Linked DNA regions of Rhinolophus ferrumequinum. The protein of the gene in region 2 interacts with the protein of the main gene of each other region in a biochemical or structural test. Links are inferred from orthologs where the notes say so. Each region holds a gene or a part of one and is shown on either strand. Other genes may lie near its edges. The genes, in order: FBXO21, EID1 and NR0B2.

The links.
Region 1: of the proteins of EID1 (region 2) and FBXO21, one has a biochemical effect on the other in vitro, tested with the Homo sapiens proteins (2 studies listed by BioGRID, with this or other methods). The link is inferred for Rhinolophus ferrumequinum from reciprocal best matches to the Homo sapiens genes EID1 and FBXO21.
Region 3: the proteins of EID1 (region 2) and NR0B2 form a complex in vitro, tested with the Homo sapiens proteins (3 studies listed by BioGRID). The link is inferred for Rhinolophus ferrumequinum from reciprocal best matches to the Homo sapiens genes EID1 and NR0B2.

What each region holds. Positions count from the first base shown.
Region 1 is NC_046308.1:10,888,721-10,899,532, forward strand, and holds the start of FBXO21 (F-box only protein 21), read right to left. Parts: upstream 5,912-10,812; coding exon 5,673-5,911; intron 4,798-5,672; coding exon 4,662-4,797; intron 2,615-4,661; coding exon 2,520-2,614; intron 1-2,519. UniProt on the Homo sapiens protein: Substrate-recognition component of the SCF (SKP1-CUL1-F-box protein)-type E3 ubiquitin ligase complex.
Region 2 is NC_046289.1:58,194,505-58,205,053, forward strand, and holds EID1 (EP300-interacting inhibitor of differentiation 1), read right to left. Parts: upstream 5,253-10,549; 5' UTR 5,169-5,252; coding exon 4,593-5,168; 3' UTR 3,514-4,592; downstream 1-3,513. Other genes in the region: SHC4 (SHC-transforming protein 4), read left to right, coding at 8,757-8,810. UniProt on the Homo sapiens protein: Interacts with RB1 and EP300 and acts as a repressor of MYOD1 transactivation. Inhibits EP300 and CBP histone acetyltransferase activity.
Region 3 is NC_046292.1:18,428,001-18,438,812, forward strand, and holds NR0B2 (nuclear receptor subfamily 0 group B member 2), read right to left. Parts: upstream 4,894-10,812; 5' UTR 4,789-4,893; coding exon 4,245-4,788; intron 3,473-4,244; coding exon 3,174-3,472; 3' UTR 2,834-3,173; downstream 1-2,833. UniProt on the Homo sapiens protein: Transcriptional regulator that acts as a negative regulator of receptor-dependent signaling pathways. Specifically inhibits transactivation of the nuclear receptor with which it interacts.

The DNA.
Region 1 (10,812 bases), on a different chromosome or scaffold from region 2:
TGGTCATTCTGGGTCAATTTTATAAGGTACTATGTACCCTTTTAATATGTTTTCACATCTTTATTGGGAATGTACTCTCTTTCAAGACCACATAGAAAACACCACAAATGCATTGTTTTCAAACATCCAGGGACTGGGGCTTTATAGAAACTACTTTTCTTCGTTCCTAAGCTTTCCATATCCAAACAAGCATTTGCCAGGAATGAAGACAAATAGGGTCCTTCTCGAAAACTGGCAATCCAAAATATTTACAAATATGAGAATACCCCTTGTTATTTGAAAACAACACTGTTTTCGGCTCAAAATATATGTCAGGCCAAGGGGTAACATATCTATATTTCTAAAAAGACTGTAACAATATATGTTTTTAATGGCTGTGCATACTCAGTCTCTTTTGCCAATCTGGTAAGTAAAAGAGCAGTATTTCACAGTTTTAACATTTCTTTGAAGAGTGAATTTAAAGGTCTTTTTACATGATCACCAGCCATTTGGATTTGCTGTTTGGTGGATATCATCCTCCTATCCTTTGGACATTTTTCAATTTCCTCTTGGAAATTTTAAGACTTTGTTTATGGTTTCTTTGGTCATACAGAAGTTTACTTTTTAATTGCAAAATCATTTGTCCATATTCTTTTATTGCTTCTGCATTACTGGTCTTGGTTAAGGAAGTCTCCCTAAATTGTATACAAAATCTCCTATTTTCTTGAGGGATTTTCATTGTGATAAAATTTAGGTTGTTTAGTCTTTTGGGATTTATTAGGTTGGTGCAAAAGTAATTGCAGTTTAAAAGGTTAAAAATAATTGCAAAAACTGCAATTACTTTCACACCAACCTAATAGTTTTTATATATGATGCAAGTTTTATTTTTTTCCAGGTGGATAATCAGTTATGCCTAATATCATTTATTAAATAGTCCATCTTTTTCCCTCTGAGTTTAAATATATTATCTTTTATGCTGCGACATGTTTCTGAATTATCCTTTCCCGTGGATGTGGCTATTAATTTTCACTTCAACACTGTATTGTTTTCATTAAAGGTAGCTTTACAATATGTTCTAATATGTAGTCATGCAAGTTTCCCATTGTGATTATTTCAAAATTGTTTTTTTCTGGCTTTTCTTGTGATTTTCTTCTTCTAGACAATATTACCCAATTAAGACACACATTAAAAAAACTCTCCCCTCCCAAAACTCTTGTTGGATCCTAACTCAAATGGCCATAGGTTTACGTATTAATTTTGGAAGAACTGACGTTTTTATGATGGTCAGTCTTCCCATTCAAGAACATGCTCTTATTTTATGTTTTTTCAATAATATCCTATAGTCTGACCTAGGAAGCTTATTCCCAGGGACCTTTTACTGAGAAAAGGAACCACCAAAACATCACCCTCCACAGTAACACAATAATGGAGAAGCAAACGGTTACTCTACAATAGAGGGGTGGTTAAATAACTTATGGTATATACTACAAAACAGTATTTTTTAATTAAACAATAAACTCAGTCTGTATATTACATTTATGTATTTCAAAGTATGTGGGTATATATGTAAAAAAGACAGGTCAGCTTTTATTTTTAAGGCTGCACAATACTGTTAGATCATACTCCAATTCATTTATAGATAAACCAAAATAGAAACAGAAAAATGACCTCTGCATCTGAATTCATCCGAGGCCTAGAACAGTGACACATCTTACCTCTCCCCTACAGTTGTTCCACTGATAGATACGTGTCATCCCTAAACTGCCTTAAAAACAACAAGAAAAATATCTTATGCCTTGTTTGTAAGGTATTTCCCAATAACCTCTCTCAAGGAAGATCCTAAACTAACATTCTTATCTTTCATCACTAGGAGAGTTTTCAGAACTTTTAGAGCAGAGAATCTTTCTCACAGGTAAGTTAGGCTGGAAGCAAGTCATTTTTCAGGCAAACTGGAAATTAACCCCCACAGCAGAAAATACGAGTCATAAAAATTCTAAAGCAACAACCAAGAGATAATGGATCCTTCTTGATAAGGAGAGATAAAAGAATGGCTCAACCAAATATCTCTAGTGTTTGTGGTCAAAGTAACATTATTTCTTCCCCAAATTCAGAAACTGTAACAAATTATCCATTCAATTAAGACATGCCCAAGAAATTATTTTTTTAAATATTCAATGCACGATAGGCAAATTTGGTGGTGGTAGGCGGAGGTGATAATAAAGGAAGGATAATTTATGTTACCTAAATGACATAATAGACACAAGTGCCCAGAGCACAGTATTTGGCCCACAATAGGACTAAATAAAATACATACTAGTAATTCTCTTCTTTCCAAAAGGATTTTTGCATGGTTTCTTTAAATATCAACTGTCTCAGTATACAGAATTTTTAAATAAATATAACTGTAGCAACACATGAAATTTCGGAAACACATGTCCCATGGTTCGGCCACATACAAATTACAGCAATTAATTCTGGGGTTATTATTAAAACAAATGAACAAACAAACCAAAAAAACCCCTGCTATAACTATGGCTTACCTTCCTTCCATGTTTAGGATACACACCAGTTCATCCTCAAAAAATATCTCTGGTCCCTCAAGATTCTCAATGTCACTAAAACCATTACAAGGGACCTATGAAGAAGACATATACAAACAGGCCTCAATAACGAGTAATGATGTCGTTGTCACTCTCATACACAAATCTGAGCGGCAAAGAAAGACGGTCATTTTCATGGAAGTGGTTAACAGCTATCCTATATTCTTTTGCACCACTTACCATGGGTGGAAAGTAACATGCAAAGTAACAATAATTTGTTTAAATCTTGTTGTTAGTTGTAAATTAATGATAGTTTCATACACTGAAATTTCTGAAACTGGTAACTCAAGAATTCTAATGGGAAGAAAAATAGCTCTGAAACAAGAACTAGAAATTGTAACAGCTATATACAATGTCAGAGAGGCAGTAGATTGGGGGAGGGGAGTTATCCCTTTGTGAGGGGTGCAAATGTCTATTACATTGTTTTGTACCCCTGAAACTAAGAAAACAAACAAACAAACAAAAAAACAAGAACTAGAAATATAAAATTTCTGAATTCACAAGAACTACTTCCTGCAGGCTATGCTGTACTCAAGAAGGGAGGGGCCGGAGAGAGAAGTCTAGTGCTTTGGGCAACTCAACCCACCGAGCATGTTTTGCATGTTTTCTCCTCTGTAAACCAAGGTGGTGGTACCAATAAGCTTTAAGATCCCCTCAGTTTAAAAGTCTAACACTTCTGCCACTTTTCTTTTTGAAGGTAGCCAGGGAATTTCATGTCAACCTGTGTGCATGCTGGGAACACAGGAATACAAGGGTCCTGAGCCAAAGTCGTCACCCACCCACAGATCAATCTTAAGTACACTCCTGCGTTGTTCAAAGTACTTGACGTACTTCTAATTAAGCAGTGGTATCAGGGAAGAGGGAGCTAAGGAAGAAACATAACAATTCATTATTATCAGACAAAGGCACAGGCTGTTCAAAATGCACACAAAACCAGCTGGACTAGAAGCAGAGGTTGCAAACTAGCAGCCCGTGACCAAGTGCATCAAACACTTGGTCCAAATACATGTGTGTGCAAACAACGTTTCAACCAGTTATTTAACATCTGTGATCATGCATGCTTTTAGCTAGGGCATGGCTTTTCCAAGTAGAAAATAAACTTTTTCCCTTCTAACGTTAACATTTATTTATAGAGATGAATTGCACTAAGGAATACCTAATTTTATTCTCCACAGAAGAATGCATTCAAATTTGTCCAAAGTTCAAAATTTGAACGTTCCCTTTCAAAACTTGACAAGCTTTGAAAATATTTCAAATGTATGAACTCCATTAAGTAATAGTAATTGAATTTAGAAAATAGGACTTCATCTTCAGTAAACCTGGAGAATAAAATAAGTAAGACTGGCTGTATTTCTAGACCCCCAATCAGAAATAAATTTAAAATATTGGGGTGGACTATTTTCCAGAGTCACAAAAAGTTAAGAATCAGGACCTGTGAACGCTTTGTGTTAAGTAAAAACAAAAACAAAACCATGCAGTTCAGCAATATTTAAAAAACAAAAACAAAAACAAAAAAACTTTTCAGGGATAATAAAAGTAAGACAATTTAATTGAGGGAGCAATAATTTTGATTTACAGATAGCTTTTAATCCTATTAGCTTAACAAATAATGCAGTTCACAACTGGTTAGAACCTGCAAAGCCAGAGAGAAGAACCGTATTAATTTCGTCAAGCCTTCTGGGAAAACAACTGGGTGAGATTTGTAGTGTTCAATCATCAATGATCCCCCTAATCATGTGGAGGCTGCAAAAAAAAAAAAAAATGGCTAACCCACTTGAAGAGAAATAACGCTGAAGAGAAAAAAAAAATCCCTCTACATTGTGTTGTGGGTCCCTCCCTCCTTTTCCACCCCCATTCTCTCTCTGGCTTTAGAAAAGTAAAGCTGGCAGGGACAAATGGCTTCATGTTGTTGGATGGGAGGAAAAGGACACAATGACTCTTGCAGCCATCTAAGTGAGTAAGGGATTGTGAGAGCACTGAAAAGGGAGATATCAAAAAGAGCTGGATGAGCTAATGCCTACAAACCCAGACACACACACCACGACCAGGCAAAAGCTTAGAGCCACATCAACAGATTCTTACATGCTCTGAAAAGAATCTCTTTGAGAACGAGGCTACAATCTTCCGGGCTTCTAACCCAGCTTTTTGCCGAACTTTATACTCCTCCAACCAATTGACGTAGTCAGTGGGGCTGTAGTGTTTCATAAGGGAAGGCCACCTACAAGGAGAAAAACACCCCCTCAGCTTAACAGAGACTCAAAGGCAGGCAGGCAGGCAGGAATCAAAGGCAGCCTTGGAAAACAGGGAAAGCAGTATGGTTTAGTGGTCAAGGGGCCCTGGTGATGGACCCAGTTCCAATCTCCACCCAACACGCACGCACTCGCTCACGGAGTGACCTTGGCATTGCCATAAGAATGCTTGTGTCTCCATTGCATCTATAAAATGGGGACAATTGTAGCGATAATACAATAATAGCGATGACAATGACAGTTAACATGCACTGCGCGCCTCCTAAGAGCTGGGCCCTTTGGCAAATGCTCCCTACACATCTCATTTAATAAGCACAGTCAAAGGTAGGTCTAATTATCAGCCAAGTCGGTGAACGAGGCTCAAAAAAGGGAAGTCTGCCCACAAGGTCATACGGCGAGTATGCCAGGGCCAGATTTTATCCCGGGTCCACACCGAAATCTGTGCTTCTCAACCACCAACCAGAGGATGCTGCGCCCGCTTCCTCTCAGGGCTGTGGGGATCACCGCATCACCAGATCCGTGTAAACATTTTAGCACAGTGTCGGGCACAAAAGAAGCGCGCAGAATGGATGAGCTGCGATACTACCGTCGTCATCCGTTAGGGAGGGCCCGGCTGCTGGGCGCTTCCCGATGCGCAATTTGGGCACCGGAGGGTCCGCGCGGCATGGACCCAAGGGGCCGGCGGCCTGGAGGCCTTTGTCTGTCGGTCCCCGGGAAGGGGTCTGGGGGTGGCATCCGGGGTGGGGTCCGCGCGCGGGCCAGGAGGCGGCGGCTCGGGCCAGCCAAGCCCGCGCGTCCCGGGGGCGCAGAACCAGGGCACCAGCGGCCAGGGCGGCAGGCTCACCTCACCCGGAACTGCTCCTTCCACACCTTCCCGCTACTCTGGCACAGCTCGCGCAGCCGCCGGCAGGTGCTGGAGACGCGGCTGATGTCCGCCGCCGACAGCGAGCCGCTGCACAGTATGTACTCCAGCACCTCGCCGGGCAGATTGACGAGGCAGCTGAGGCCCGCCGTCTCCGGCGCGGCCTCCTCCGCCAGCGCCTGCACCACTTCCATCGCGCTGTCGACCGCTGCTGCCGCCATCTTGTCCGCGTACCTGGGGCCGCTGTGCGCGCGCGCCGGGGGAACCCCACTTCGCTCCGCCCACCTGCCTTGAGGGGCGGGCCCCAGGATGGCCCTGCCCACGCCGGTAGCTCCACCCCCTCTGCCCAGGGTACTTGCGAGGACTGCGCCTTGGCGACGGGAAAGTACCGCGTTTTGGAAAGTAACTGGGCTGTGGGCCTTGGAGCCGTGGACCGACAATGACAATGACAACATCCATCTTTCTTATAGTGCTGGGCGCTTCCTGTGCAGGAGCTCGTCGAACCTTCCCAATAACCCTCTTAAACCATTATTGTCCCCAAGCTACGGATAGAGAAACTGAGGTTCAGGGAGATAAACAGACTTGCTCAGACTCCCTTGTTCTAGATTCTAATCCAGATCCTCTTGACTTCTGCTTGACCGTACTCTAAACTAGCATGCTGTGATCACAAACTTAATATTCTTGAGTGGATGCTGTGCCAAGCACTTTACATGCCTTCCTCAAGGACTCCTCATTTGGGCCCTCTATGGTAGGTACCATATTTGTACCCATTCTACAGATAAAGAAAACAAGGCTCAGAAAGTTGGGAGTCACTGGTTCAAAGTCGTAGAGACAAAAAGTGGTAGATTTGAATTCTCAAGGCAGAAGTTCCCACTCAGGTGTGGGTGGGTACTCTTTTCGGTGTCTGCCCTCGTAAAAGAAAACTCAGGTACGTTTAGTGCCAGGCACTGTGCTTTGTCCCCTGGGGATACAGAGGTGAGTAAGATGGTGTGCTTGCCTCTCAGGAGCTCCAACTCCAGTTGGGGTGGGAGGTAGCGGGGACACACAGGTACAGAACAATGTGTTGTCAGTACTGTTGTCCTGAAGGGCTCACTAACCTCCTCCTCCCCAACCTGGAATCAGCAGAATGCCCTGAGACAATTGAACTAGTAACTGTTACTTTCTGTGGATGTTGTTTTGCCTCCATGACTCTCTCTCTTGCCCTTAGGGATCTGAAATCCCTAACATTGTTGCAAAGACACAGACCCCTATCTACCACTCCAAGCCTGTCTGAAGACATTCTTTCCTTCACTAACCCTACCAGCCAGGCTGATCTCTTTCCTCCCACTTCTGGCCTTCACATGTGTACTATTCCCACTGCCTGGAATGCGCTTTATGCCGGCACTCCCTCCTTCTGGCTGCTCTTCTCTTCCTCCCTTCTCTCATCCCAGCCCCAGAGCCAGACACGGCACCTTTTCAGCATTTTGCAGTCGTGTACTTATTTACTTAATTGATAACTGTTCAACCTGCATCTTTCCTACTAGATCAGAAGCAACTTCAGGATCAGGATTGTCCGGATGCCCAGTTACTTTTCACAGGCTCTGCTCACAGCAGATTCTCAATAATTATTTGCTGATTACAGTTATCTAACCAGTTGTTTACAGCGAGTTACTTAGCCTTTCTGAGGCCCAGTTTCTCATCTGTAAAATGGGGATAATAATAATAATGTTGGCCTCCTGGGACTGTTGAGAGAATTAAATGAGTATGTTTATATAAAGTGCATGTGTACTGTGCCTGACACACAGAACACACTTGATAAAAGCATGTTTTGGGGGAATGGGAAGCAACTGCTTCATGGGCTCAGGATTTTATTTTGGATTGATGGAAATGTATTGGAACTCAACCGAGGTGATGGTTGCACAGCGTTGTGAATGTACTAAAATGCCACTGAATCATTCACTATTGAGTTTCATGTTATGTGACTTTCATCTCAATAAATGTGTTTGAAACTATGTTACTGCCTGTATTCGTTTGCTAGGGCTGCCATTACAAAGTGGCACAGACTGAGTGGCTTAAACAACACAAAGTTATTTTTTCACAGTTCTGGAGGCCCAGAAGTCTGAGATCAAGGTGTGGGCAGGGTTGTTTTTCTCTGGGGCCTCTCCTTGACTTGTAGATGGCTATCTTCCCTCTGTGTCTTCACGTGGTATGTGTGGGTGTGCGTGTGGGGGTCTTAACTCTTGTTCTTATAAGGACACCAGTCCTATTGGATCAGGGGGCCACCCTAATGATCTCGTTTGACCTTAATTACTTCTTTAAAGACCCTGTCACCAAATACAGTCACATTCTGAGGTCCTGGGGTTAGGGCTTCAAAATAGGAAATTGGGGCTGGGGCGGGCGTACAGTGTTACTGCAGCTGCTGCTACTATGGTCATTAAAACAGAAAGATTTAGAGTAACCCCTGGAGTCTGGCAGATCTGGGCTAGATCCTGGACCTTCATGCCTCTGAATTCAGTGGGCGTTCCCTGGCCTTGTTTTTGCCGTCTCCACAGCATCAGCAGACATTGTTTACCATGCTGTTTCTTCTCAAAAATGCTGACTCACCTTGGCCTCTGTGGCCCTACCCTCTCTTTAGGGCTGTTCCCTGTCAGTCTCCTTTGCCGTCTCACCCAGATGGTACATGTTAGGGTACCATGGGGCACAGCCACAGGCCCCTTCTTTCACTTTTCTCACCTCTGTCGACATCTCGAATGACAATCCAAGCTCAGCTAAAATGTCCACGTTTCTCTCTGGCCCGGCTCACTCCTCTGAGGTCCAGCCTTGCTTAGCCAGCCAACTGCTCACCTGACATTTCCTTTGGGCCCCTGAAATTGAACTTATCTGGGACTGAACTTACAGTTCCCCCTCCCCACTTACCTTGTCTTCTCCCAGTGGTTCCTGCCTTAGGAAAGGGTGCCACTCCATCTATTACGGCAAAACCGGAACTCGTCACCGTTTGGCACCTCACCATCCAAATGGTCCCTAGCGGTTAATATCTTTGTGCTTTGGTTTTCTCACCTATAAAATGGGGATAACAATAGACCTTCCTATTAAATGAAAATATGTATCAGTTACTGTTGCTGCATGGCTCTCAACCACTGTACATACTGTACTTACCTCTGTCCGATACTGTAGGGCCTGGAAAGATGGTTAAGATTTTATCTTAAGTGTGCTGGGAAGCACTATCCATGTTCAAATGCCCAACAGAGGTTAAGTTCTCTGTGCCTCTGTTTCTGGAACAGGGAGGCCATTTTCTAAAAGATCCTAATATTTCTTAGATTTGTCTCGGCTCACACTGTCCCAGCCCACGTCTGCACTGTGGTTCCCAACTGTTCTCATGGCTTCTGCCCTGGCCCTGAGAACACTCAGACATTGATAAACAGCTTCCAACCTGTTAGGTGCAAGGCAGACCCCACAGCTGCACAAATGATCGGTAAGCCATTCTTAGGAAAGACTATTGCTTTCTTATCAATGATGTCCTGGCCCTCATTCTTTCTTCCTGTCTTCTGACCAAAGATGCTGTCGGGAAAAAATTAAAATCTCCTGCCAATCTAGAAAATCCTTGCCGCCACTGTAGTAAAGGAGAACAGTTTTCTTTCTTTTCTTTTTTTTTTTTTTTTAAATTGGGGAATATTGGGGAACAGTGTGTTTCTCCAGGGCCATCAGCTGCAAGTTGTTGTCCTTCAATCTAGTCATGGGGGGACGCAGCTCAGCTCTAAGTCCAGTCACCGTTTTCAATTTTTAGTTGCAGGGGGCGCAGCCCAGCATCCCATGTGGGAATTGAACCGGCAACCTTGTTAAGAGCTCGCGCTCTAACCAACTGAGCCATCCGGCCGCCCCAGGAGAATAGTTTTCTTATTGAACAAGCATTAAACCAGACTGTGGGGTACATCACAGGTAATCTGCTGATGAGATTGCAAAGACAGAGAGAAATCCTACCCTTTTTATATACAACCAAGCACTGCATTACATACCTACTCTCGAGATTCATGGTAACTTGTCCTCAAGTGAGAGGACTTGACTGTACTATACCTTTGTTGTAAACTCTTTTCTAGTTCATCCTAAGCTTACCTGGTAGTTGGGATACTCATGGTGCTACCTAATTGCTTTTGTCTCAAGGAATAAGAAAACTTCTCATCTTTATGACAAGCAGGTAATTACAGTGTAGAACAGGGTGCTGACGCTAAACTTATATACAGGGAGATGGGGACACCACCTTCCTAGAACTTTCATTTCACAGAGACGGTTCTCAGGCCCTTACGCAAAAATATTCCTGGGTTGAAATACTGGGAAGAGGATTATTTTGAAAAGATTTGCAAACTGTAGTATATTTGTACTACGGACTATTATTCAGCCATATAAAGGAATGACACACTGATACACGTGACCACATGGACGAACACTAAAAACATTATGCTAAATGACATAAGCCAGACATGAAACGACAAATATTGCATGATTCCATTTCTATGAAATGTCTAGACTAGGAAAATTCATAGAGACAGAATACAGATTAGAGAAAGTTCTGGAAAGAGACAGTGGTGATGGTTGCACAATATTGTGGATGTCCTGAATGCCGCTACACTGTATACTTAAAAATAGTTAAGTGGTAAATTTTCTGTCATATTTTACCATAATTAACAAAAAAAATAGTACACACAAAACAGACTTACATACATATATGCAAGAGACAGGAAAGACACGCGCACAATTTCTCAAGGCAATGCTCTAAGAGTGAAAGGAGGGAAATGGCTCCCTTTCCCTTTCGGCAACAGGGAAAATTCTAAGTTTTAAAATCTAGCCCACACTACCCTCCTGCTGAGCAGGTCAGCCGAGAACTGGGCCTCATGATCCTACTTCCCGCTCAGACCACCCAGAACAAGCCCAAACCCCGGAGTGATCCCCCTCCGAGTTCCCCCGGGGGCTCACTTCCTACTGCAACAAGCTGATCAGCCTATCTTTGTGGACTCTCGGTGCAGCTCTGCTTATCTTCGGTTGGAAGATATCAACATTCCTCTCCCATGAGATCTCCACAATCCAGCCAGAGACACCACTTCAACTCCCTTCAACACCGTCGATGGCTTTCCTTATTTTCAAAGTGAAT
Region 2 (10,549 bases):
TTGATTACACAGTAGTATAAGTCATCATAGAGGAAAATGCTTAATGTGAAACAGTTCAAAATAGATTCCTGTCCAGTTGGCTCTTCATTGGTTATCCAAGAGAGGTTATACTGTTAGTATAATGACAGCAGAACATTTGGGACTGTACTTGGAAGATGCAATTTTTGAGTAGAAGGTAAAACATTCATTCAGTCTTTCGGATGCTGTGCCCTTAAGACATTTGCAGATGTAAAATTTATTTTTAGCTTTCACCCACGTGTTTGGTACCAGGGTTACCCAATGCTTTTAGTTATGAGATCTCATTGAGTATAGGAGCCCTTGAATTATGAGTTTTGTAGGAGAGGAAGAGTAGGAAGAACTAGAGCCAATATGTTGACAGTCATGTGCAGAATCTAATGAGCATTTTAAAAAATGGCTTCCCATTGGGTGACTAAAAATATGGTGATTTAGGAAGAATAGGGCTGTGGTGTGTGGTAGGGGGCTTAGTTTATTCTTAGCATTTCCTTCTCCTCCACGACGTTTTTCCAGGCCAATGAGAGGTGGTATTGCCACACACCCATAATCTTTGTGGCAGAATAGTAGGGACTGTGGGCATGGCTGGATTCCACGACCTGTAGTTATAGCAATGAGGTACCTTTGGGAGTGAATCACCTTTTCTGCACTGGTAGCACGGAATGGAGTTGTATTCAGCCCACTGCTAGAATGGGAACGAAAGTCAGGATCTCACTGATAAAATGTAATAGCTCAGGGACGGCCGGATGGCTCAGTTGGTTAGAGCATGAGCTCTGACCAACAGGGTTGCCGGTTCGATTCCCCTATGAGCCAGTGAGCTGTGCCCTCCCCAACGAGATTGAAAACAACAAGCTGCCATCGGGGTGGCTGTATGGCTCAGTTGGTTAGAGCGCGACATCTCAACAAGGTTGCCGGTTAAATTCCCGCTTGGGATGGTGGGCTGTGCCCCCTGTAACTAAGATTGAAAACAGCGACTGGACTTGGAGCCGAACTGTGCCCTTCACAACTAGATTGAAGGACGACGACTTGGGAGCTGATGGGCCCTGGAAAAACACACTGTTCCCCAACATTCCCCAATAAAACAAGAAACAAAACAAACCCATAAGCCATAAAGTGAAGAGCAATAATTGAAAAAAAAAAAAGTAACAGCTCAAGTAATTTTGAACTATTCTGCAGGCCTGAGGGAAATGGCTTGGGGTGTGGGGCTTATAAAAAAAAGACGTGTCGTACTCTGGATGCTTCAACTTGAAAAACTTTATATATCCCATCAAGAGGGCAACTAAGACGTTCAAGGGGTGAAGGCAGCAGAGACGCGACCTTATGGATGCAGCATGAGAAAAGGATTTATTAAATTCTCCTTAAAGAAAGCTACCCTTTGAAGTTCTAAGATAAATACAAAGAAATACTAATGCCCCCCGCCCCTTAACATCTAAGATATACTTTGGACTGAAAACATAAACAGGTTCAAGTTTGTAGAAACATTCATAGATAACAGAGCTTTTATGGATCAGATGGTTCATATTTATTTTCAGCCACTGAGAACTTCAAAAATAGAACTGATTTCCTCCCAGAAAATGTCTCACAGAACCTCAGAGGCAAAGATAAAACTATATTAAACATGTAATGCTGCAATTTTTAAAACTTACATTTTGGGATGGGAAAACACATTTTCGAAAAGCAAGTTATAGGGTTTTTTGTATATTCCTTGTTTTAAAAATTTAAAAAACAGACTTCCTTGACATACTTTAATATATGTAGTGTTCTAAACAAAAATGTCAGTCTCACTAGCTTCTACTCCTATCTTTATTAATTTCTACACTTCTCCCACCAAGTTTAACAACTACTGAAATTGAGAAGGGTAATAAAGAGATTAAGAAGGTAAAACAGGCAGAAAACTTAAGACATCCTTTAGTCTCAAGTATCTAGAGAGGCCAGGCAGGTAATGCAAACTGTTCAGGTACAAGAAAAAACAATGGTGCAAGCACAATGATAAATGGTGAGTGCCACTTGGATACCATGTTGGGGAGACAACATTGGGGAACATGGAAAACAATACCTCCCCTATATAAAGGTGAATCAGATACTTATGACCATGTCACTAAAGGTCAAAGATGGAAATCTAGGAGTTTTGCTATTCTTTCTCACATAAGTGTTGGTTTTTAATTAAGAAATTAAAATTATAAGCATGAACCAAATGAAACAGATGTGTCCTTAGGGCAGCCAATGTGGGATATGATTTAAGCAAACATTTATTGTACGTATGAATAGATTCAGTAAATGCTCCCCAAATCACACTACATGCTCATCAACTTTTTTAAGTTCCCTCTACTCACATCACAAAATCAGGATCAGAATTTCCCCAGAACTGCTTTGTTTAGTTCCCATCAAATGAAGATATACATGTATCTAATCCCAATTTTTCGTTAAGGACCCTGAAGCAGAAAGATCAAGTAATTTAAGCTAGTAAGTAGTGGAGACTAGATTTGAACCAGGTAGGTTAGTTCCAATCTGTGATAACTTTTATAACAGAAATACATTTGATTTTACACCCTTACAAGGGGTATTAAAAATATTACCATTTTCTATCTTTAGTAAATTAACAAGTGTTAATTTCAGTGATCTCTCAAGTTATTGTTTATTTTTAAAACCAACCACCATCAGAGGAATCAGCTGCGGAGTTCAGCAGGTCTTTCCCCACAAAATAAGCCTTCAAACCCAACAGGGAGTTTTCTTTTCCTGCTCCCTACTTAGTCCCAGAGAAGGAATCACACCTCCGGGTTTGTAAACCTGTTTTTTCTAAGCCTGTTTCCTGGCATCTTTACCTAGAGGTAAATGCAAGTAGTGAGTTCATTGTGTATTGGCCTCCAGTTTTTATTCAGAGTACTGTTAATTCATATCACATAAGCAATTATTTATCCAGTCTTCTGACTGCAACTACAAATTGTCTGAAAATGCAATGAAGGAAGTGAGGCATGGGGGAGGCAGTGGGATTAAGACGTTTGTCACCTCCTGTGTAGTCTTTCCCCTATCTATCTTCTGCCCCTCCAAGCTAGTGTTTGAGTGATTGTCATCCTTGTTAGTCCCCTATTTTACAGAAAAAAATTCCTCTGAAAGGAAGGATGACTGTACGATAAATTAAGGTTCTGAACTGTCCTGTTGTATTGGATGTGTCCTCTACAGCCATAATGGAGCAAGAACATCTAGTAGTTTGATTTACTGGTCACAGGCTTCTGACATAATCATCATAGAACTTTAGAACGTTAATAACCACAGCAACATACTCATTAATAGCGCAGGTTTCCCCAGGTTGGCAAATTCTTACAGGAATTTACTGTTTAGTTTCCCAAGTTAATTTGTAAATCAGGTTTTGAAGCTGGAGCACGTTCCCTTATAAATTGTGGTTAAATTGAGAGCATAAAGTGGTTGCAATACAATAAAATAGTATAATACAATAAGAAATAATATGTAAAGTATGTATGCAATGCTATTAGCCAAACAAAATACACAGAACAAGAAATTTTATTATCTCGAATGCTGGTGCATAACCAATAACAAGCTTCATTAGAGGAGGAGACAGAGGGAAACTTCAGAAACTTCAGGTGGATTTCTGGACAGGTTTAAAAACCTTTAAAAGTTGATGGCATAATTGTTCAGTCTTTTTTAAATGTAGGGCTTTCCTTTTACTTGACAATTTTCACTTAACAGTTCTTGTTAAAAAGTTCAACCAGTCTTTTGCCTGTAAAGTTAAATGAAACCAGAGAGCAAGTAAAACAGAAAATTTCTCTAGTATATAACAATGTTAGAAGTAGTTTTTCTTTGTTCTTTCACATACATTTTAATGTCTAAATTTGAAAATTTACTAAGGACTTTCTCATTTTTGACTTTTAAAAATGGTCAAGACAATGAATTTTCTTGAATTACGGCTCACAGTAGCTTTATAAATGATCAAGATACATGTACAAAATTTCAGATGTTCTTGGAAACATTTTAAGATACAGCACACATGATACATATTTCTTTTTGGGTTTGCTTATCCTTCTGGGAATACTAAGAATATTCAACTTATCAGACCCTATAAAAATTTAGCCTTGCTAGATCACAAAGTGGAATCTTCAAAGTTTTCTTATCAGGTTTTCAGTCCAAATAACTCAAAGACATCTCATTTCCTAAGTTGGAAGTTACTTATTCTTTCCTAATTAGTATCAGTGGGCTCTTGTACTGGCAGTTTGTCTTGGTCATGATTTATTCTTGCAAAACCATCCCGTAAAGTGAAACAGGAAAAGTCACTTCCCCCAATGCAAAGAAAATAATCTGGATTAATAACAAAGTCAAAGCCATACGTGTTGCAGGACATTCTTGAAAACAGGTTTCGTCAGTCCTCAGATCCTTCTTCTTTGTTTTCTTTTTCACAACGGTGCAGTCACAGCCCTATTCTATTCTGCAAAACAAACAGACAAAAAACCATTTTCTGGTGAACATCCAGTTCTTCATTGGCACGGAACTATTTGGAATAAACCCGAGAGACAGTGGAATGTTGGGTCTCTCCTCAAGTAGTTTCCTCCTCTGCTACCTGCATGTAACTACTCTCTGTCAATAATCTCATCACAGCCGAGTTCTTCGGTCAGACGATTGACAACCATGAGTGAAAAAAGCTCTTCAATAAAAGCCAACTGATCAAACGGGGTCTTCTCGTAATGCATCTGAAAACCGCCATCCAGGGCTGCTTCTCTTGCTCTGGAGGTTCTCAGAAACATCTTGTTGGCTTCTTCCAGGGCTGCGGAGACTCTGTAGCCTGCACCACTCAGTTGCTCCTCTTCCGGATAGTCGTACTCATCCTCCCAGTCATCAAATTCCTCGCCCTCGTCCTCGCTCTCGAAGTCAGGGCCTGCGATCTGGCCTGGCTGTTCCCCGGGGTTGGGGCGATTAGCAAGGCTTCGTTCCCCCTTTGGCTCCGCCATTGGCTGGGCCGCCTCCTCCTCCATCGGGCCTTCTTCCTCGAGCTGTGGCGCGGCCCCGTTGCGGGAGGGGTTCGGGGATGGCTCCCGGCTCCCGCTGCCTACCTCCATCTGCGGAAGGTCACTCTCGCCTGGCATCACATCCATCTGCAGGTCGTTGCTCTCCTCATACAGCTCGGACAGCTCGTTCATTTCCGACATTGTGCAAGCGGCTCAACCTCCTGCAAGGCGTTTTCGACCAGATCGGAGTTACGCGGCCCCGTGGTTGTGCGCGTGCGCGAACGGCGTGCGCGACCTGTGCGTCTGCGTGACCCCCAGACACCGCCTCCCGCTGGGCGCGCCGGTCGGGCGGGAGCCGCTCGCGGTAGTGCCCCGTGGCCTGGTGGTTTATGTGTGGTTCCATTGGAAATTCACACCTAAAAACTGCATACGAGAATATTAATTCGTCTTCGCCTTACTTAACCGTTCTGCTGCTTATGATGCTATAAACCGGAAAATATGTGCCCGCCTTAACAACGCTTTATCCTCCCCCTTGTCCTTTCCTCCCCCTCGTCCTTCCTCCTGCTCCTCCTCCCACCACCCCGGGCAATCGCATCTGCTCCTGTTAACTACCATTTTACTGTCTGCTCTACTGGCTTCTAACTCCGCTCCTCCAACCACACACACTGTTCTCAGCCACAAATCAGCATGTTAAGAACTGATGCATTAAACACTTTTTCAATTTTTCTCATTAGAAAAAGTTAAATTTACAAATAAGTATATTATCCGTGTCCTTTTACAAAAGTTAATACTGAGAAAATACTGGGTCCCATTTCTTTTTACACGAGGTAACCTTACACTATTATTGGTGTGTATCCTTTAAATCCTTTTTCTTTGCATTTACATGGATCTTAGGTCCTCGTGGAAAAAATCTTCCTTTTTTAAAAAACATGTCTCACATAACTGCCTTCAACTTACAAAACAAACCCCTCAGCAGTGTCTTGAAGATTTAGCTTTGTTAGTACACATATTTTTTCATAGCATTCTATTTGTAAAGCTGTACTATAGATGACCTAACTATGCAAACATAGTTGCCCGTTTTTTGATACTATAAACTGGATAAATGAACATCCACATGTGCCAGTGCTTCTCTAGAATAAATACCTAGAAGATGGAAGGTGTAAGTGCAGAATATGCATACTTTGGTTTTAATAAATACAGTCAAATTGCTCTCCAAAGTTCCTGTACAAATTTAAGCTCTAGCCAGCAGTGTTTGAGAATATCCACACCCTCGCCACACACAATTTTGTTGAACATGAACAATTTTATCAATTTAATGGTATCTTGTTTTATTTTGAATTCTCTTGATTTCTTGGAGATTGATTATTTTTTAATAGGCTTATGGAACATTTGTGTTCTGAAAATCAACTGGCTTTGTTTTGGGTTTCTTTCTTTTTCTTATTGATTCATAGGGATTCCATATGAGCTCTGTATATAAATACTTCTGTTTTACATGTTCCAATATATTCTCTCTTCCTGTTGTTTGTATTGTTCCAGGAGTCTTTTCTTATATAAAAGTTTTAAAATGAGGTTTGTTTTTTTTTAAAGATTTTATTGGGGAAGGGGAACAGGACTTTATTGGGGAACAGTGTGTACTTCCAGGACTTTTTTCTAAGTCAGGTTGCTGTCCTTTCAATCTTAGTTGTGGAGGGTACCGTTCAGCTTCAAGTTGTCCTTTCAGTCTTAGGTGTGGATGGCGCAGCTCAGCTCCAGGTCCAGTTGCCATTGCTAGTTGCAGGGGCACAGCCCACCATCCCTTGCAGGAGTCGAACCGACAATCTTGTGGTTGAGAGCCAGCGCTCCAACCAACTGAGCCATCCGGGAGCTCAGTGGCATCTCAGCTCAAGGTGCCATGTTCAATCTTAGTTGCAGGGGGTGCTGCCCACCATTCCTTGCGGTACTGGAGGAATTGAACTGGCATGCTTGTGGTTGAGAGCCCACTGGCCCATGTGGGAATCGAACCGGCAGCCTTCGGAGTTAGGAGCACGGAGCTCCAACCGCCTGAGCCACCGGGACGGCCCTAAAATGAGTTTTTAAGTAATCAAATGTGAAGGTTTTTGTACGTTTCTTTCTGTCTATTAAGATGGATTTTTCTTACCTCAGAGACCACAAACATAATCTTTATCTGTCTTCTGATATACTGGTAGATCTTATATGAATCAAACATTTGTTTATTTATACAGATGAGTACAGAATTTATAATATTTATATATTTTTACCATATATATAGCTAATTCAGCCAACTCCACTAATTTAATCACTTGTCCTTTTCTCTGCTGTTTGGTGCCACATTTATTATAGACTAAAAATCCATGAATATGTGAGACTGTTTTTAGACTTTGTATTTTAATGAATTTCTATAGTTTTATAATATGCCTTGCTAATAGGAAAAAATTTGATCTCTGTTCTTTAAAAAATTGTTTTAGCTTTTTTTGCATATTTATTCCATGTGAATTTTAGATGCAGCATGAAAAGTTCCCTGAATGACATTAGTGGAATTTTTATTGGAATTGCATGTAAATTACAGACTAATCTGGGGGGAGAATTGACATCTTCACAATACCCAGATAAAGAAACACCATTTGCAGGGTCCCAGAAAACCACTTGCTCTCCTTTCCTTTGCCCCAGACGTAACCAGTATCAGACTGCAGACAGAGTAAAATAATTTTGCCTGTTTTTGAACTTTATATAAATTAAACTATGTGGCATATATTCTTTGTGTTTGGCTTCTGCCCAAGAAACATGGTGTTGCTATGTAGTAGTTCATTGTTTAAATATCACAATTGTCACTAGTGGATTGTTTCCAGTTGTGGGCTATTATGAAAAGGAGAGTCATTTTCTTTAGACTATCTTTTGGTGTTCATATTTACACAGTTCTGTTGGATATACATCTAGAACTGCTTTGTCATCGTAGTATAGAAGCAACTTTAATAGCTCCGAATCTACTTCTGAAGGCAGTATTAGCTAATAGGTACACAGTTGGTATTTTAATGAACCTTCAAAACAGTATGATAAATGCATCTCTGGAAATTGGGATTGTGGGGATTACAAACTGTGGGGATTACAAACAAGCAACCCTAGAATATCAACTAAAAGAGAGAGTCTTCTTGGCTAACTAATGCAGTTCACTCTGATAGTCTTACTTCTTACTGGAAATCTTAATGTTAGTGCCTTAGAATACTTTTGGTGGAGAATGACTGCAGCCCAATTCAAACTAATTTATATAAAAATAAATTAATAAGTAATATAGAAAAAGAGATAAAGGGTGACGGGAAATGTATTGGTTGAAAGGATGAATCAAATGTTACCACCAGACTTTTTTCTATTTTTAAATCTCAGCTGATTTTCTCCAGAGAGAAAGCTTCATTTTGCAGCAGGCTTTTCCCACATGTCAGCAAAAGATGGCTGACTCCCAGAAGCTTTGGGCTTACACGGTCCTTAATGGCAGAGAGAAATGTATTCTCTCCTGTTGTCCATATCAGTTCCTCCCCAATGACATTGATTGGTTCTGCTGTATCCAGGTGTCTTCTGATTGGCCTACGTCTTATGTCCACTTGCAAGGAGAGGGGCAATGAAATGGGCATGTCAAATACATCTAAGTGAGATTATTATAGAATGTGGGTGAAGTGGTTTCCAAAGGATGTCGTCCAGGCAAAAACAAAAAGAAATGTACATTACTGTTAGATTGTATGTAACTAGGAATAATTAATTTAGAGCATCATACATGTTTAATTTGTTTATGTTTTCCAGATTATTGCAAATCATCATATGCAGTCTATTTCATTTGCCTCTGGAGGGGATCCTGTAAGTATGGATTCATAAAAATTCTTCTATATAAGTTAAAAGAATTTCTACATAAAGCATGTTAGACACTACATGTCTTTTCTAAATATCTTATTATAATTTGTGAATAGCTACATATAACAGGTAATCAAAAATGTGGTTTGACAAAATATTTCCTGTTACTGATTTTAAAAATAGTTGGATTAGTAGATTATCTAATAATACTTCATTGTGTTATTAGCCATGGAGTTATCTTTTGAGAAGCTTCTTGTAGATAATATCAAAGTCATGAAAAACAAATGTGTTATACATCTGTTGCAAGTCCTTTCTCAGAATTCTTCTCAACACAGAGTTCCAAGTAGATCCTACTAATCATTTGGATTTGGCAGATGAGGAGAAGCCTATCTGCCATACATGGCAACTAAGTCTAATCTAGAATGAGCAATGAGGTTTGCAGAAACTTATGGAGGTAATGCTCAGCTGGGGAGAAAGAACTGCAGTTCCTCCCTACCACGAGGCCGCGTAGGGCTCATTTTCCATGAATGGTGCAGGACGGAGCCAGTGTTCTCTCTGCAACCTACTTTGCAGAATGAAGGGTCATTCTCTGACTCTGTACTGCATCATTTCTGGACCAGAGCAAAAGGAGAGGGGTAATGAAAGTAGGAATCCTGTGGCTGAACAAGATGCAAATCTATTTAAACTAAGGTAGTAGAAGGAGGTTTCTGCTCTTCCATGACATCGTGACATTTTTCTTGTATCTGCAAACATACAGAAGATTAGAGGAGGGGACAGTCTGACTTTCATGATTGATCATCAATAATGTCAAGAAAACATGGGGAACATATACTGGCCTTACCCTTACTGACAATGTATTACCTTCTTTTCTGCAAAGCATTTATTATTATTAAACATTATATCCTTCAGAAATGAGGCAATAAAATCCACTTTAACAGTTTTTTTCCCTCCATTACATTTAGTTTCTTTCTTTCAACTGAGGAATAAAATTTAGGATCATAAATGATAGGACCCATAATTCAAGAGAGGTATGCAGTGGTAGTAAAAATGAAATCTGTCAGCTGATGTCACTGCAGCTGATGTCACTGCAGAGTTTTGATTTATATTATCTTGAAGCTAAATATTTAAAAGGAAATAAAATTCTGAAGTTACTTTGTTTAATCATTCCTTCTTTTACTGGCATCTAAAGTATTTAAGCAAGTTCTTCCACTTGTGTGGTGGTGTAATTTTTGTGTGTGTGAAATACATAGTAAAGTGCTTTTTACATTAGTCAATTTTTAAAAAACATTTCAGTAGTTACTTGTCATTCCATTGGCTAATAGTGGCTCAAAGTATTTAAACATGTCAAACCTAGACAAACTGCCTTCCAAACATCCTTAAAGCATATGGAAGAAAGGCAGCCTTTACAGAATTTCAAATCATTGTTTTTTTCTTTCGTTAATGCATACTTAATTTTCCCTTTAGGATTCACTACTTCCTCACCTTTCAGTTTTGGGTATGGTTATTTTCAAATGACTATCTTAGTTCCATGGTGCCAGCATTTAAAATTAAACCAAATTTGAAGAGTTCCACCTTTTCCCCAGTAGATTCCACCGATGGCTAACTGTGGATTCAGTAGCGAATGGGGACATGCAAGGTGCCTGGCGCTTAGCAGCTGCAATGTGAGCCCTGTACTAATTCTGAACTCTGATCCATCCGCCTTGTAATCTGGCCTCACAGCAACACCAAGGGATATGGTTGGTAGC
Region 3 (10,812 bases), on a different chromosome or scaffold from region 2:
ACAGGGTCTGGTGCAAGTGGATTTCCAGAGAAATGTTGAATGATGGAATGAATGGATGCATGGCTAGTGAGTGTTGGCTTTTTGCCAGCATTATAGGTTCTAGGGGATAAGTGACTGCCCCAAAGGCAGGGTGTGTCTGTGCAGGGCACAGCACACGTCAGCAGCCTGATTGCTTAATAACAATGATTTGGCTAATGAAGGTAGAGGTAATAATGATAATAAAATGGTACCTGAGGCTGACCCTACTTCCTAGTGAGTCATCCTTGGCTGGACCTGAGGACAGAGATCATGGCTGAAAGGTAGATGGTCAGTAAACAGTAGCTGAGCTGGCTCCAGACAACCTGATCCTGGCCATGAGTCACTCCAGCCTATGCTGGTGGCAAGAGCCAGGCCTCCAGCATCCCACAGCCCTGAGGTGAAATCCCAGCACAGTGATTTACCCACACTTTGAGTAAGTTGCTCACCTTGTCTGAGCCTGTTTCCTCCTCTACCTCCCTGGTTTATGAGACACAGGTCCCCCTCCTAAGATGCTGGTAACAGAGAAATAGCCTCCACCTTTGGAAAGCCTGCAGTCTCATGGAGAAAGCATTCTTTTCCTTATTACACTGTACTACAGTTCTCTCTTTAGTTTTGCTCTATTTGTCTTTATAGTCCTCCCAGAAAGCTTGGGTACATGTGAGAAGCAGACAGAAATGTAGCTCCCAGACCACAGGGAAGAGTAGGGAAGGAATTTGAAAAGGGGAAAGATAGGGCTGATAAGGGAAGCTATTTGGATGATGCAAACAAGTTGTGGTGGGTAGTTCAGAGGAGCACTTTCTAATGGATGGCTGTTCAGGCTTAGCGGAGGGGCGGGGTGAAAGACTCAGCCTGAGGATTCAGAGAGGTGCAACAGTAAACTAATGGAATCAGTGTGTGAAGGGCCATAAAAGATAGAATAACCCGGGAATCCTGGGATCTGCTGGATTTAGATCCTACCGGGAGACGAGGCACCTCCTCTTGAAAGAGTTGCCTCCTGCATCTGCAAGGTGAGGTGGGGCCGTGTGGGCCAAAGTGCACAGCAGGGCAGGGAGAGGTGCCTGGGGGCCTGAGGTCTGGGTCTAGGGGTTTTGTGGGGAGTGGGTGGGTAGGGGAGAGGCAGGGCTTGTTGTGAGCTCTAATGGATGCTTCCATTTGGGAGTTTGATTAGCTCATGCCTGAGCGGACTGTTGAGCAGGGCAGGGTCTGGCTGAGAGTGGAGTGGCTGTTGGGGTCGCCGTGGGAAAAGGGGATGCTTGGTTAGTTGAGGTCCTGAGCCCCTGGCAGAGCAGTTTGGCCTGGGTAGACCTGGAAGATGTGAAGATGCAGGTCTACCTACTTTGGGGGCCACTTTTCCTTTCCCTGTGACACACAGAAGATGGAGAACATGCCCTGGTGTAAGGGTATCTCCATGGTGTGTGTCCTACCTGTGGGCGCAGGGTTGTGTGTGTGATTGTCTGGCCTGGGTGCTTGTCTCTGTGGTGTGAATGTGTTTGGGTCTGTTGTATGTCACTGAGTGAGTGTACCTGTATTTCCACGCTGTGTGTGGGTTCATGGAGGGTGTGTTTTACGGGTCTGCTTAGGCATGTCTGAGTTGTATGATTTAGTGTGTGTGTGTGTGAAAGAGAAAGCTGTAAGTCTGAGTTGTGTGAGTCTTTGTTGTGATGTCTAAGCTGTGTGTTTCTGTCTCATTTTGGGTATCTGAGTGGTGAGTGAATGATAGGGTAAGGGACAGTGGTGCCCTTGCTGCTGGCACCGGGTGCCCGTAATTGGTACATGGCCAGTTCAGCTGTGGTCCCTGTCCTGGCGGCCTTAGGGAGAGGACTGAATAATGAATCGATTCCTAGACTGTTGTCCCTGAGTGAATGACCTCTCGTTCAGCAATAATTAACTTGGCCCCCGTGAGAAGAATCCAAACTGTGGTGGTGAAGGGGGTGGGGCCTGGCCTAGGCAGGCCTATTGCCGGACAAAGGAGGAGGCCTGAAAGGGGGTCCTATAGGCATGTGTGTTGTTATCATTCCCTCCTGTCCATCCTGCAGGTCAGTCACCCTGACCTGGGTGATATCCAAAATATTTAACAAACGCTGAGGAACAGAGATTGACCAATCAGAACAGACACAAACCACACCCTGAATGGAGAAGTCCTGGAGGCCATGGCTATGCCAAGCATTTCCTCTCTAGTTGCTGGACAGTGGGAATGGATTCCAGGGACAGAGGGGCAGTGGAAAGGAGCTCAGGAGGGCTTGGGGCAGTGGCTGTGAACCAACTGTCGTGGAAATGTTTTAGACTTTAACAGCTAGTATGGCAGCTAAACCAAGGCGGTAGCCAGGCCAGCCCTGGATACCCTTGCCCCCTCCCATTGGGAGAACAATAGGCCATCCTCTTCTGTTGTCTGAAGGCCTGGAGGAAGTGGATGATGCCGAACTGCAGAAATTCCAGTGACCTTGTCCATTTCAGTTAGGGAATGGGCTGCTTTGTTTTCCTTATTGTCTGTGATTGGGCGCCTGTAGTGGGCAGGAGCTGAGGGGTCAGTGAGGGGTTTGGGGACAAAGAGAAACTGCTCCCCCCACAGAAATAAAGGCAAGGAGGTGACGGGGTCCTGAACTGATCCTATCCCCTGGACTCAGAAATGTGCAAAATCAATCCCATCCTCAGAAATGAAATCATCATTCCACTCTGAAAATTAATATCCTGGTTCTCTGAGGTCTGGCTCTTGCACCCCTTATGGTTCCTTCCTCTTGGGCTCCCTCTGATGGGGGCAGGGTGGACCCTGGCGGTGAGATGGTCCCTTCCAAATGTACAAAATACAATGTCAGCCTCCAAGGGTGTAAGCCTTTTATTACAAAAACCAATAACTTAAGTCAATTCTGTACAGTCAGTAGGACTTTTGGCCCAATGAGCCGTCTAAGCTTCCGTCTCCATCCCAGGAGAGGACAGGATTCTTGGCCCAGAGACTCTGGGGACCTCCAAGGGCCGGCCAGACAGCTGGAGCACTGTGTCCAAACCAAGGAAGACCAAGACAGGCTGTGGCTGAGTGAGAGGGCACATAGTCCGTCTGGCTGGGCTAGGGCCAGCTTTCTCCTAGGGGGCTGAGTGCTCTCTAATAGGCTTGCCCCCTCTCAGAGCATTGGGTCACTTCTGGGGGCAGCTGGGCCAAATCAGCGCTGCCAGCTTCTGCCCAAACTATACCTGATCTCTGCTTGGGCTGGAGCAGGTCGGCTCAGCAAAAGCATGTCCTCGAGGAGGCCAGCGATGTCAACATCTCCAATGATAGGACGAAAGAAGAGGTCCCCAAGTAGGCTGTGTGGAATGGACTTGAGGGAGGAGGCTGTGAGGAGGACATGGGCCAACCGGCCTTGGCCTGCTGGGCACCAGGGCTCCAGGACCTCAAACAGTGCCTGATGAGCCTCCTGTTGCAGGTGCCAGATGTGGGAGGAGGCATGGAGACCTGGCATGTCTGCGGGCAGAGGGTGAAGAGCACTGGTGAGCATCCCACTCCCAGCCACCACAGGGCGAGACTGGCCCCAGACCTGAGGTCACTGGGAAAATTATCTTATCTCTGTGCCTCAGTTTCCTCATCTGTAAAATGGGTATAATAATAGTTCCTATCTTGTAGGCTTGTTATGAGGTTTAAATGAGCTAATATATGTAAAAAATGGAATCGGGCCTAACATACAGTAAGTGTAATATGAGTATTTCGCTAGATTATTATAATTAATTACTATAATTTACGTATTCCTTGAGGGCCTGTTGGTGAGGAATTCTTATCGAGATGTTCTCCAAATTACAAACAACACTACCTCTATCCCTTGCTCTCCTAGCTAAATGGTACAAAGACTCCTTCCCCACACTCCCTCATTTTCTTTCCTCTTCTCTGTGTGGTCTTTCTGAACCCACAGTTTTACCTTGACTGAGGCATAGCTGTGTCTGCCCAACCTCCCCTCCCCCACTCCTTCTTTTCCTGAGTGTCAGGGCAAGCTTCTTGGGCAGAGTGGTAAGGGCCAATCTCTAGTATGTACAGACCTGAATTCTAATCCCTGTTCTGCCCCTTCCTGGCTCTATGACCTTCAGCAGATCATTTAGCCTCTGTGAGCCTCTTTTGTGAGATGACTGGAGATAAAGAGGACCCAAAGAGATAATGAATGTCAAACCCCTAAAAGGTGCCTTCCCTGGCTGGGCCCTGCCCCCCTCCAGCCTCGGCCCTTATCCTGGAATGTCTGAGAGCTCACCAGAGTTGAAGAGGATGGTCCCTTTCAGATAGGCATATTCTTTGGGGCCCAGCTCCAGGCTCCAGAAAGACTCCAGGCAGCACTGAAGCCACTGCACCGCAGCTAGCGAGGGCTGGGGCCGATCCGGCATCTGGCCGCTGCCTGCATTGCTGCTGCTGGGCTCCTCCAGCAAGATCTTCTTGAGTATGCTGGGAACCGGGGCCTCCGCCACCTCGAAGGTCACAGTGTCTTGGGCCAACCCAATCAGGAAGAGGGGGCCCCAGCAGCCTCGCAGCAGCTGCCGCTGATCCTGGGGGGGCAGCTGGCAGAAGGATGCCAGGTTCCTGAGGAAGACCACGGTCTTGGCCAGAACGTCCAAGGCTTGCCTGCAGGTGCGATGGGGAGCACGCAGCCGGACAGGCCGGTGCTGCCTGCACAGGCAGTGGCTGCGGGCAGGGGGCACAGAGGGCCTGGCCCTAAGGCTGGGGCTCAGGAGTGCGTACAGAATGGCTGGGCGGTCTGCAGCACCCTGACATGGGCAGGTCCCCGGCTGACTGGAGCTCATGGTGGAGGAAATGCTCCTCCTTCCTCCTGCTCTCCCGCCCTCTGCACTGTGGGCACTATTTATATTCCCAATGGGGAGGAGGGGGGAGCAGCCCAACAACCTTGACTCCAGAAGTCATATTCATTGAAAAAAAAGAAAGACACTGACCCTGGCAGGACTGGTGGGGAAGTGCTGGGGGCGGGGGCCTTGAGAGCTCCACGTGGCCCTGATAGGCTTCAGTCAATGAAGTGGTCGGTGCAAGGCATGGGGCCACCTGTCCGCTGGGCCGGCTGCCCCTTATCAGATGACTCAAGCAGATAAACAGGGTCATTAACCCAGGCTGTACCAGGGCACCAAGGCCTCAGGTGCATAATCAGCAGGTGGCCATGGCAGGTGTCCCTATTGGTGCCTGCAGGACTTTTGCTAAGCTGGGAAGTCAGCCCCAGAGCTGGACAAGCCTTGAATGCAAGGCCCAACCTGGAAATGCCTTATCGCTGATTTGTTTGCCTAACCTTGGGGCCTAGCTCCTGTTGTTGGTAAGGAACAGGCTGCAGAGAAGGGAGCCGGGACCCTGGGGGGCTGGGGAGGACTTTGCCCACTGAACAGTTTAGGAGGCCCCTTCCTCTGACTCCAGTTCTGGGGGCCCTGCAGAAATGAACTCTCTCTCCCCAGTCTGTATTCCTAGAGCTCCTGAAAGGCCGTATCTGCTGAGAAGCACTGGCAGAATGATAATGTAATATGGCTACTGTTTATTGAACACTTTCTATGTGCTACTTTCCACTCTAATATTCAGAGCTTCCTTATGAAGCAAGATTTTTACTTTTTGAGATTCACAGAGGGGAAGTGACTTGTCCAAGGTCATGCCACTAAGAAGAGACAGAGCCCAGATCTATCTGATTTCAAAGTCCTTGCTTGTTCCCCTGAATCTACTGGCCCAATTGTGCAGCAAGAGCTGTGTGGCCTGAGTTTCCCAGAGTTGGTGGCTACCTGGACCCCTACCTTGGTGCTGCCTGGTCTGCAGATGTTGCCCACTTATGATCTAGGCAGAAATGTTGCTTTGCTACCAACCACTCAGCAACTCTGTCTCAGACAGTGGGGCATATTATGTGAGAGTGGCGGGAAGGTCCTCGGCTGTGTCATGTCTGTGGACCTTGGCAAGCCCAGCCTGGGCAGCCATCACCATCCCTGGCATCTGCTCCTGGCTCTATCACTTTACAGTTGTGTGACCATGGGCTGATTTCCAAATTTCTGTGGGCCTCTGGAGTTTCATTTGAAACAGTAATGCCTGCCTGCAGGGCTGCTGTGAGGACAAAGTGAGGTCCTGGATGTCAAATTCCAAGCAGTTTTTGGCATACAGTAGAACTTTGCTCCCCCATTGCCTCTGTCTAAGGAACTAAGCCCCAGCAGACAAACAGGCACACCTCTTTCATTTGATTGTGAATTGTCTTAATCTTAACATGTATAAAGTTCCTTTCACATCCTTTTTCTCACTGAATTTTCCACAGCGTCCCCTCAAAAGAGACTCTGGAGTCAGATTGCTTGGGTCCAAATTCTGCTTCATCACTTAGCTGAGTGACCTTGGGCAAGTCATTTTATATTTCTGTGCCTCAGTTTCCTCATCCTTAAAAGGGTGGCAACAAAGGCCAATAGTAGATATTGGTTTATGGGGCTTGAAGCTTATACAATTTGAAGGACCCTCTTTAACAATAGAGAATCAGGTATAGAAGTGAATATTTAAAATACGAAAACAAATCACTACCAATTACAAACTAAAATGAACTGACAGAAAATACAAATGTCACAAACCCAGGAGAATAGCAAGATACTTTTACTGGTTGCCTGACAATATTTGCCTACGTGTTTTAGCTGTACCCTCTTTGCTCACCTTTTCACATGTCAATACTATTTCTTTTGAAAGCATCACAAACACAGAAAGATTGCAAGTACAGTACAGGGAACTTTTTTTTTTTTTTTACCTTGAACCATTTGAAAGTAAATTGCTAACTTGATGCCCCAGAACTCTCAAATACTTTAGTGTGTAATTCCTACAAACAAGGACATTCTCTTATAAAACCACAATATAATCATCAAAAGCAGGAAATTAACAATGAACAAAATCAGGAAAGTAATATCTAATCTCAGACCCCATTTCAGTTTCACCAAATGCTCTTGTGAAATCAGTGACAGTGACCGTGCTCAGTCCAGAATCTCACATTGCATTTCTTTGTCATGTCTCCTTGGTCTGTCAGTCAGTAAACTTTCCCTCTGTCTTTCCTTGCTTTTCAGGACCTTGACACTTTTGAAGAGTTGTAGTTATTTTGTAACAAGACTCTCAATTTGATTAGATTCAAATTATGTATCTTTAGTAGCAATATCACAAAACTGATGTTGTGTTCTTCTTGACTATTCTCCATTTGGCCCATGGTTCACTTTGGTCACTTAAGGGATGTCTGCCAGGCTTCTCCACTATAGTTATTCTTTCTCCTTTGTAACGAATCAGTATTTTGTAAGGAGGCACTTTGAAACTATGTAGTTATTCCTCCTCATACTTTGATGTATGTATGTATGTATGTATGTACGTATGTACATATGAATTCATGGTCTCCTACTTTATTCAGTGGTTTGTAATCTATTACTATCATTATTTATTTTGATGCTCAGATTGTCACAGATTTGGCCAATGGGAGCCCCTTCAAGCTTGAGTCTATATATATCCTTTCGACATTCCCCATTGTTCCTCGAACATCCCTTATTTTCTGGTATAACAAGGTGTCTTTTTTCCAGCCTCTGGAATCAGTCAGTACTCCAAGAAGCTCTGATTCAATGTTTTAGTGGAGAACAGTATTTAAAAACCATAATCTGGGCACTAGAGCCATGTCTAGAAACCAAGACCCTCTCATTGCAATTAAGGTGTCACTGCTCCCAGGCCCTCCCAGAGCTAAGAAACGCCCACATGTGCTCACGTACAAACACACACACATTCATACTTAGTTCTATTAATTATTTATACATATTAAAAAACCATGAGTTCAGACTATTATCTCCAATTCTAATACACCGTAAAGGGGGTTATTGTAGTTTTCATCTCCATTTATACCTCCATCTTCTGACACTGAGCAATCTGGCTTCCATTATTCTTAATTTATTAACCTGTTGCATCAAGCCCTTGTTTTTAACCAGTCTTCCATTTCTGCCACCACTTTGTCCCATATGAGATACCTTCCTCACCCATTGGGCTCTGATACCTTGTGTCAGGCTGCCACCTGCCACTCAGGGACCCCCTTCTTCTCCCTACTGAGCCCCTGTCACCCATGCCAGGTCACCGCTCTGTGTGGACACCCTCCTCACCATGCTGGGGCTCTGACTTTTGCTCTGGGCCACTGTGGCTCCCGCCTCCTCTACTTGGGGCGCATACCTCTACCTTGTTCCACACAACCTAATAGTTTTAGGACTGAAATTTTCAGGAAGAGAAAAGAAGGGGAGGAGGTAGAGCTGTCAATGATTTTTAAAAATAAATTTCTACAGTGAGACTAGAGAGATGATTTTATCTTTTCACTCGCAGGATTGATCAACAAAATTTCATTCTTGATAAGAGACATAAACTTCACACATAGATGTATATGCTACTTGTAGCACTGTTTATAGGTTTGTAGTAGGAATTTTCATAAATTCTACTTTGTGTAATTCTTATCAAAAAAGAAAAATATGCATGAAGCATTTATAATTGCATATGCTGCATTATTCCTTATAGGAGAGAACTTCTCTTTTGAGTTGGTGTCAATATGAAATGACAACTTAGTGATGACTAAGTGATAGGATTTGGTGCAGCTTTGCTTTTTGTTCTACACATACCCTGTTTCTTCCCCCATCACCGACGTATTTCCAGGTGTCTTGGGAATCATTCATATTGGGAAGTGGGATGAGAGTGGGAAGAAACAGTGGTCCTAACCAACAAATTTTTAATCAATTTAAATTTTTATTTTTTCAAATTAAAAAGAAAAAATATGTATGTATATGAGGTCTGACAATTACATTCGTGAACTTGATATCAGAGGGATTATTCATTATGAAGTTGTACCAACTGGACAATCAGTTAACCAAGTTTACTACTGTGTTTTCCTGAAAATAAGACCTACCCCAAAAATAAGCCCCAGTTGAGATCGTCAGCCAGACAGATGCATTTAGTATGTTATGACGATGTCTCAGAAGAAGATGACATGACTGTATTTGAATATAGATTGTTGTACATGAAAAAAATAAGATATTCCCTGAAAATAAGCCCTAATGTGTCTTTTGGAGCAAAAATTAATATAAGACCCAGTCTTATTTTTTGGGAAATACAGTATAAGACGTGGTCTTATTTTTGGGGAAACACGGTATTTGGAAGTGCTGAAAAGGCTGTGTGAAAAAGTTAGATGATCTGAACTTTTCACCAACAGTTCATGCTTCTTGCATCACGACAATGCACCAGCTCACATGGTACTGTCTGTGAAGGAGTTTTTAGCCAATAAACAAATAACTGTATTGGAACACCCTCCCTACTCACATGATCTGGCCCCCAATGACTTATTTATTTACCTTAAGATAAAGAAAATATTGAAAGGACGATATTTTGATGACATTCAGGACATTAAGGGTAATACGACGACAGCTCTGATGGCCATTCCAGAAAAAGAGTTCCAAAATTGCTTTGAAACGTAAACTAGGCGCTGGCATAGGTACATAGCTTTCCAAGGGGAGTACTTCGAAGGTGGCCGTAGTGATATTCAGCAATGAGGTACATATGTAGCACTTTTTCTAGGATGAGTTCGTGTACTTGTCAGACCTTTGAATTGGTGGGAAGTCAATTCTGTCCATAACAGAAGTCTAAGGGAAAAAAAGTGTTTCCAAAAGGAAGACAGGGTAACCTGTGTCAAATGCAGCTGAGAAGTCAAGAAAGATAATAGTGGCCCATTGGCTTGGCAATATGGAAGTTATTTTAACTTTGGTCAGTCTTTTAAGAAAAGAGGAGTAAATTAAGGAGAAATGGAAGGTAAAGAAATGGAGAAACAAATATAGTCATCTTTTCAAGTTTTGCTATGAATGAGAACTGAAAATTGGGGTGATATGATAAGAGGAGAAAGTGGGGTCATAAAATAGTAAAAAGGTAAGTGACATGAAAACACGTTTGTAAGTTGAAGGGAATGATCCAGAAGAAAGAAATTTGTGATACAGGAGATTTAAAAAAGGATAATACCAAGGGTAGAATCCCTGAAAAGACTAAGATGATGAAATTCACTGCAAACGTGGAGAGGCTGCCCTTAGAGACTGCCCTTAGGCTGCGACCTGTCCCCCACATTAACAGTAGTAAAGGTAGAATACAACACTCGTTACATAATTTTCAGGGCCCAGTGCAAAATGACTACGTGGGGTCTCTTGTTAAAAAATTATTTAAAATTTCAGGACTGCAACAGAAGAGCATTAAACCAAGCATAGAGCTCGTCTAAGCCCAGGGCCAGTGCAACTTCAGTTTGTATACCCATGAAGCTGGTCCTGGCAGAGTTTGTGATGATGATGGAGACCGGCGGTCCTTTGGGCAGGTCCCTTCTTTCTTGGCCTCCACTGCCCCATGGAAGGACTGGAAGAGCTAAGGACACTTTCAGCTTCACCGTTTTACAAGCTTTGAGGGCATTCTTAAGGTGGAAGAGCAAAGTCTGTCCCTTTTTAACTTCCAACCCCGCCAGATTTTAGCTCAGGGATTTCTGGAAGGCTCCAGAGCATCTGGTGACCATAGCAACTCACGCCAAACTCTGGCGCTCTCGGCTCCGCCCACCACTTCATGGACACGCTCGTTGATTGGCTCAGCAAGTTGACCAATGGTCGGTGAAGCGAACTGTTTGCGCGCGCTGAATGGTCGCGAGTCGGGAGGGAGGCGGGAAGAGAGAGAGCAAGCAGGCGGGGCTGGGCGGCGGAGCACTTGCGTGTTTCCGGCTCCGCTGCGGAAGGCGGAGGACTAGAGCCGTTGGGCAGGACACAACCCAAACGAGGTTGGAAAACCCGGGACGC